2 linked regions of the Anolis sagrei genome follow. The protein of the gene in region 1 interacts with the protein of each later gene in a biochemical or structural test. Links are inferred from orthologs where the notes say so. Each region holds a gene or a part of one and is shown on either strand. Other genes may lie near its edges.

Region 1 (3,920 bases):
AGAGCCACCCTTTTCAAGAATCCAGCACCCCATGGCTCCAGGAAGCATTTCTCAAAATCCTGGGCCGGTTTGTTCCAACACAAAGGACTCGATCAAAACCCATTTGCATGGACAATAAAACAAATGGTTCTTATCAACCAGATCTCAGAGGGCAAAAGGCTAGTCCATCTGGAGATAAGACCATCTTGATCCACCAACACAAAGGGTGCTGTCCTATCTGTGGAGGATCCAGGCTCCCCACTGCCTCTTTTTCATTGTGAGGACCCAGCTGGCTGATACCAGTCATAAATCCCATCAATGGACTCTTATCCCGGATGGAAGGACAACAAAAGATCTGGTCTCTGAGCCAGATGAAAATGTATCTTCCAGAGCATCAAAACAATAGCCTGGCCAGCTTGAGGGCTAAAGAAGGCAATCACTGACCGCTTAGACAATCGTTAATAATTTTAATCTTATCACCTTTCCTCTTCATTCATTGTTTCCCACCTGGCCTGCCTCCTCTCTTCCCATTGGCCAAGAGGCCGAAGCGGCGCTGGCTCTATGATTGGACAAGGCGCAGCTAAGCCAGCCACACCTCCCAGCCAGCTGATGACTCCAGCCAATCAGTGAGAAGCCAGCAAGGGGGGTGGGAGTGAGAAATTTGAATTTGACAGCTCTGTATTTCCCATAAAAACTGTAATATTTCCCCTTGTGAGTTATGTCGACTTTGGTGAATGATTGCAGTTTGACATCCACTCCAGCTGGAATGAAATAAACAACTCGGTGGCTTCTTCTTCAACTTAGTGAGATTTATTTGGGAAAAATAGTGAAAAATTCTATTTGGGTATTCTTGTCTCGCCAAGTGTTTGGGCCCTCTTTGGTGGGTCTGGCTGGGCCTTGCCTCAGTAGGACCCCCCCCCCTTAAATCTCATGTTTGACATCAAAATCACCCCCAGGCAGCAATCAGCCAGGCTTTGAAGCTGCAAGGGCCTTCAATGCTAATCAAGGTGGCCAATTTCAACATTCACACTTGCCTCAAGCAAACAAGAGTTCTTTCTCCCACTCTGGACATTATTCCACAGATATATACACCTCATTTGCCTAGTTTCCAACCTCTGAGGATGCCTGTGGGCGAAACGTCAGGAGAGAATGCTTCTGGAACATGGCCATACAGCCCTGAATAACTCACAGCAACCCAGTAGAGTTTGGGTTTTGAAAACTGTGGAGGGAAACTCCAAAAAAAAAGGAGTTGAAATGCTGTACAGGAATCTACACTGAGCATAGAATAGAGCTTCAAACTGCATTAAACGGGGCATAAACACTGCCAACCCTTTCCAAACCTGCCCAGGATTTGAATAGTCATGGGTCAAGCCAGGCTCCGCCCACGGCGCTGACGTCATTCCTGGGAAATCGAAATCTACAGCCGCCAGAGCCGGCTCTTCCCTTCCCGGGCGCTACTCCCTCCGCGCCTGGGCGGGGCTCCGGCGCCTTGACCAATCGGGAGGAGAGTGGGCGGGGCATTCGCTTTCCTGCTTCTGTTTTCGCTCCATAGACTTCGAAGGAAGGGAGCGCGCCGGCCCTGCAGAGAGCGGTCCAGGTGGGTGCGCGCGCAAGGTGGGCTTGGCGCGGGTGGGCGGGGAGGTCTGCTGGCTCCTACTGGAGTGAGACATAGGGATCTGGATGAGGTGTTTGCATCATCCAAAGTCGCAAACATCTCGGAGGAATGCTTACATAACTTAAGGGAGCTCAAGGAAAGATCAAACAACCCCTTAAAGCATCAGACATGAGCAAACTTCGGCCCTCCACATGTTTTGGACTTCAACTCCCAGAATTCCAAACAGCTGGTAAAGATACTGTTTTAACTGCCATGGCTCAATCAATGGAATCCTGGGAGTTGTAGTTCAATCTTTTGGAGACAACTTCAGGGCCTCTTTCAAAATACAGTAGACTCTCAGGGCCCTTCTCCACTGCCAGATAATCCAGAATACCAAGGCATATTATTCACATGATCTGCTTTGAACTGGATAATCTGAGTCAAAATCAAGAATTAGTTTTCTAAGATCAGAGATACTCGCAGGAACACCTCAGCAAGCAAGAGTCCAGGAGTGGCAGGCAAAAACCCAGAACTTCAAGCCATGAATGAGAGACTCCACCCCGGGCACACAGAAGACTGGGCAGCTTGGAAGGCAATGAGATGCAAAGCCAGTAAGATGGCTGGGATTTCTGGGAGTTGAAATCCAAACACAGCATCCATAAAATTTATTTATTTACCACATTTGTATACCACCTTTCTCAGCCCGGAGGTGACTCAAGACGGTTCACAGCTGGCAACAATTCAGTGCCTCAACAATTGTAAAGATACAGTTAAAACAATTATAAAATTAAAGCATTTAAGATATAATATAAAAACCGTACAAAGCCATAAAAATGTAATCAGCAGTGTCTCCTTACTAAAATTGTTATCCAATTTCAAAATACAGTAGACTCTCAGGGCCCTTCTACAATCAGGGCCAGCTAACACCTCCCAACAAAGGATGCCTCCAGGCAGGAAGCAGTCAAGCTTTGAAGCTGCAAGGCTATTAAATGCTAATCAAGATGGCCAATTGCAACATTCACATGTATCTCTTGCAGACAGGAGTTATTTCTCCCACCCTGGACATTCCAAGATATATAAACCCGATTTTCCTAGTTTCCAACACACCTCACAACCTCTGAGGATGCCTGCCATAGATGTGGGTGAAATGTCAGGAGAGAAGGCTTCTGTAACATGGCCATACAGCCCAGAAAACTCACAGGAACCCTTCTACACTGCCAGATAATCCAGAATATCAAGGCAGATAATCCACATGATCTGATTTGAACCGGGTTATCTGAGTTTACACTACAAATTCAAAGCAGATAATTTGGATTTTATACAGCTGTGTAGAAGGGGCCTCAGTTAACTGAAACTGAAGCAACCACTAGTCTACTAAGGAGCAAAAAAGAATAGAAAAAGAATACAGCATCCACAAAGCTGTTTTTGTAACACAGTAAAACTGTTACATTAAATTTGTTTTAATTGGACTCAATTTGCTTTTAATTACTGTATTTCAATATTAATATCAAGTCAATGCAGAATCTATGGTGTGGTGTATTATGGGCATAACATTAGTAAGGCTTATTTTTAATAGTAACTCTCAAGCAACCAGAAATGATAATATTTCCAGTATCTAGCAATTCCCATGAATGAGGGTTACTGAGGTCACATCTACATAGCCCATTTAATGCAGTTCAAAGCTAACTTCAAACTCTAGCAGCCAGATAAACTCCTACAAAAGTGTGTGATCCTTTGAAGATGCCAACCACAGATGTAGGCAAAACATCAGGAGAAAATGCTGCTAAAACACGGTCATACAGCCCAGAAACCATACAACATGGTGTGTGAAAGAAAGTTCTTAATATGCATCATTACTCTGTGATTTGTGTAATTACCATCTTGGCCGCCATCTGGTTTCAGGATTTTCTGTGTAATCATCTACACCAGGTATGGAAAACATCGGCCCACCTGGTGTTTTGGACTTCAACTCCCACAATTCCTAAAAATTGAAGTCCAAAATACCTGGAAGGCTGAAGTTTGCCCAGGCCTGATCTATACAGCAAAACCATTTTTTTCAATACTGGTTTGAAGCAGCATTAAATGGCTAGCGTAGATGTGTCTGAGCATTTCCTGCTTATAAATAAGAATGAAACAATAAAACTATGTAACAAAATTTGAAAAAAACATCTGTTCCTGGTTTGAAAGTGTTATTTCTTGTTTAATTGTACAGTACTTGCTTTGAAAGTAGTTGTTATACTCTAGAAACTTCATTTTTGTGGCAGCCACAAACTAGGTTGAATGAGTTAAGACTCTATGAGAATATTAACTGGAAAAGCTATAACAAAATGTGCTGCAAGATGTCCCA
Region 2 (3,920 bases), on another chromosome or scaffold:
TCATTTTCATGACTTCCCTCTTTCTACACATGCAGAAATGTGTGAACTGTGAGCCACAGTCCCGTGTTTTGCTCGTGAATTGGTGGGGAGTATTACAGTAAGTTGTAACAGGATCAAGTATGTGTGTGTGTGTTAAATAGAACCTGATACTGTTGATTATTATGTGCAGCTGCTAATGTAGGTCAACTGGTAAATTTGGACCACACTTGGTGGGGTATAACTATATGGGTTTTGGAATACAGACCAGTTTTTGCTCTGAGAAGCCTTTGCTCAGGCATTTTGCTCAGCCATTTCTACTGCTCTCTCGTTTGGATCAATATAAAGAAGCCTTATTCTGTATTGCTTACAAGGACTAAGTAAGTTTGTTGCACTGTTTGCAACATTGCAAGTTTATGTTTTAACTGCTGGTAAGAGTATTTTTTTTTCCTTTTGCCTGGGTGCAATGTTATTGTGTCTTCTGCATTGGACCTGACTGAAACACGCTCTGTGCAACAGAGAGGGTCTTTGCGACTGCCAAAAGCCTTATCAAGGGTCTGGAGAACAAGCCCTATGAGGAGCGGCTTAAAGAGTTGGGCATGTTTAGCATTCAAAAGAGAAGGCTGAGAGGAGACATGATAAGGTCCATATATGAATATGTGAGGGGAAGTCATAGGGAGGAGGGAGTAAGCTTGTTTTCTGCTGCCCTGGAGACTGGGACGAGGAACAAAGGCTTCAAACTACAGGAAAGGAAACTCTACTTGAACATTAGGAAGAACTTCCTAACTGGGAGAGCTGTTCAGCAGTGGAACTCTCTGCCCGGGAGTGTAGTGGAGGCTCATTCTTTGGAGGCTTTTAAACAGAGACTGGATGGCCATCTGTCTGGGGTGCTTTGAGTGAGACTTTCCCGCTTCTTGGCAGGAGGTTGGACTGGATGGCCCAGGATGATTCTATGTCAGTTAAAGGGGTGTCAAACTGTATGAACCCTGGGTTGTTGTTGGTTTTTCAGGGCTATATGACCATGTTCTAGAGGCATTTTCTCCTGACATTTCGCCTGCATCTAGATATATAAACCCATTTTTTCTACTTCCAACAGATCTCACTACCTCTGAGGATGCTTGCCATAGATGCAGGCGAAACGTCAGGAGAAAATGCCTCTAGAACATGGCCATATAGTCCGGAAAACCTACAACAACCCAGTGATTCCGGCCATGAAAGCCTTCGACAATACATTGTATGAACCCTGACTCATTATGCTTGACTCGCAATCACAGCACTGTATGTGTGACTCTCCTCTGCGTGCCTCTACGGGGGGAAAAAGGAAGGCGGTGCATTTTTTTTCCTATGGGCGGCTCCACGCTGCTGCGGACTCTGCCTCAAGCGCGCCCCCTGGAGGCCGCCCCGCGGTACTTGCTGGTTGAGCTATGGCAGGGGCGCGCGCCGTGCTGGTGGTCCTCTTGGCGCTGGGAGTGGGCACCGCGTCCCCAGGTGAGTGAGTGCCCCGCACGCCGTCCTCCCCCCCGATCTCCAACCCCCGCGTCATCCGTTCCGCCTCGGCTTTGGTTCCGCTTTGCCTTGGGGCTGGGAAAGGGGCGAGCAAGTGACTCCGTATCTTTGGAGGGTGGGGTGGGTCATGGCTCAGCGTATGGAATCTACTCCAGGGATGGGCCAATTTCGGCCCTCTCTCCAGGTGTTTTGGACTTCAACTCCCACAATTCCTAACAGCCTCGGGCCCTTTCCTCCCCCCACCCAGCCGCTTAAGCGGCTGGGTGGGGGGAGGAAAGGGCCCGAGGCTGTTAGGAATTGTGGGAGTTGAAGTCCAAAACACCTGGAGGGAGGGCCGAAATTGGCCCATGCCTGATCTACACTGCATTGACACCACTTTTAATGGCTTCAGTGCCATGCAATCGTGGAATATGTCGTTTGTTAAGGCATCAGTCCTCTTTGGTAGAACACCTTGCAAAACTACAACTCCCAGCATTGAGCCTTGCAAGCTAAAGTGGTGTCAAACTGCGTTAGTTCCACAGTGTTAAATGATGCACCCTGGGTAGAAGTGAACCAATGAGGAAGGAAACGTTGCAAAGGCCCGTTGCATTTCTGTTTTCATCACAAAGAGAGGCAAAGGTACACTTGATGAAAAGGAAGCAGGCTTCCTGGAAAGGGAGCATCATTTCTTGGCACTTCATGTTTGAGCGCAATCGGTGCGTGTTGATAAGCCAGGGCTTCCAGGAATTGGGCCATGCCATTTCATTTTTTAATGTATCTATTAGTGAAGTGTCAGTGAAAGTATTTACTTCCTGTGTATTTTATTTGCGTAGTGCGCCATACCTTTTTATTTGGGGACATGTTATTATTTATTTCGTATACTTTTACCCCGCCCTTCTCCTCCCAAGAGGGGACTCAGGGCGGCCCCACATAAGCACCCTACTATGCTATCATCATTTAAATAATAAACAAATATATTAAAATATTAAAACACTTCATTAAAACAGTAAATTAGTCACACCAGTTAAAACCAAATCCAAGTCTGAGTTTGTTGCAGTATCTAATTCTTCTTTCCAAAATTTTGTGGTTTTGACTACTGAACCCTCACTCCGACACCAAAAGCCATTAGAAAACGTACTCTTTCAGCTGCAGAGTATGGCAGTAAATTTCACCAAGATAATTCTAGAATTGGGTGCCATAAATCAGAGGCCCCTTCCACATAGCTAAATAAAATCCCACATCTGCTTTGAACTGGGATATATGGCAGTGTGGACTCAGATAACCCAGTTCAAAGCTGATGTTATGGGATTTTCTGCCTTGATATTCTGGGATATAAGGTTGTGTAGAAGACCTCAGAGTCGTTTTGAAGGCACATAACAGCAACAAGCAACAACCATTCGCTGCTCTGCCTCAGGCAGCAAAACATTTTGGGCTTGGCATGGAGCATTATTCCTCCACAATCTCTACCATGTGGTTTTATTGCTGGTAGATTTCAGGATATGGCAGAGTGTCCTGGTGAGGAATTAGGAGATCTGTTGATATGGATGCTGATTTGCACAGGCCTTAATAGAGGAGGGAAAATAACGGATCTTTCAAATAGATTGAGAAGCCATAGGACTGTTGCAAAGATACTGGTCCTGTTTCTTTGCTGCAGCCCCCCCCCTCCCCCCAATTGTCTTTAAGATATGAAGTCTTGGTACTGTGAAGAAAAAAAGTCATCCAATTATAATTTGCACCATAATTATTTGAATATCTGTGCATTATTATTTACATTTCTATCTGGAGTGAACTTAGGTTCCTAACTGGAGCGAATTATAGGGAGTGGACAATCCCTTATTAAAACAGCTCCACTGGCTGCCGGTAAGTCTCTAGTCCCAATTCAAGGTGCAGATTATCACCTACAAAGCCCTAAATGGTTCAGGTCCAGCCTATCTTTGCGATCACATCTTCCCCTATGATCCTGTGCAAGCTTTAAAATCTGCTGGGAAGGCCCTTCTCTCACTCCCACCTCAGTCACAAGCACAGTTGGTGGGGATGAGGGAACAGGCTTTCTCAGTGGTGGCCCCCCAGCTCTGGAACTCTCTCCTCAGGGAAATTAGATTATCATCCACCCTGTCCACCTTCCGTAAAGACATGAAAACTTAAATGTTCCAATGTGCCTTTGATTAATCAGTTTGTCAGTTGACGTGGCCCTTCTAGCCCTAATTTAATTATCTGGCTTTTGCACTTTACAACCAGCTCTACCATTGCAGGTGTATTGCACAAGCCCTTCCCCTGCCCTCATAGCTCTGAACACACCCATTGTGCTTGGCTACTGGTTGTTATTGGTTGTTGATGATTTATATCTGTATGATGTCTTGTATGGTTTTTGTTTTAATTTATTGTAATGTAATGTATTTTATTGTGCTATATTTTAATGTTGTTGACTGGTCCTGGTCCTATATAAGCCACCCCAAGTC

Evidence for each region.
Region 2: the proteins of STAT2 (region 1) and IFNAR1 form a complex in vitro, tested with the Homo sapiens proteins (2 studies listed by BioGRID). The link is inferred for Anolis sagrei from reciprocal best matches to the Homo sapiens genes STAT2 and IFNAR1.

Annotation. Positions count from the first base shown.
Region 1 is NC_090022.1:138,707,178-138,711,097, reverse strand, and holds the start of STAT2 (signal transducer and activator of transcription 2), read left to right. Parts: upstream 1-1,478; 5' UTR 1,479-1,576; intron 1,577-3,920. UniProt on the Homo sapiens protein: Signal transducer and activator of transcription that mediates signaling by type I interferons (IFN-alpha and IFN-beta).
Region 2 is NC_090023.1:69,799,405-69,803,324, forward strand, and holds the start of IFNAR1 (interferon alpha/beta receptor 1), read left to right. Parts: upstream 1-1,338; 5' UTR 1,339-1,400; coding exon 1,401-1,464; intron 1,465-3,920. UniProt on the Homo sapiens protein: Together with IFNAR2, forms the heterodimeric receptor for type I interferons (including interferons alpha, beta, epsilon, omega and kappa).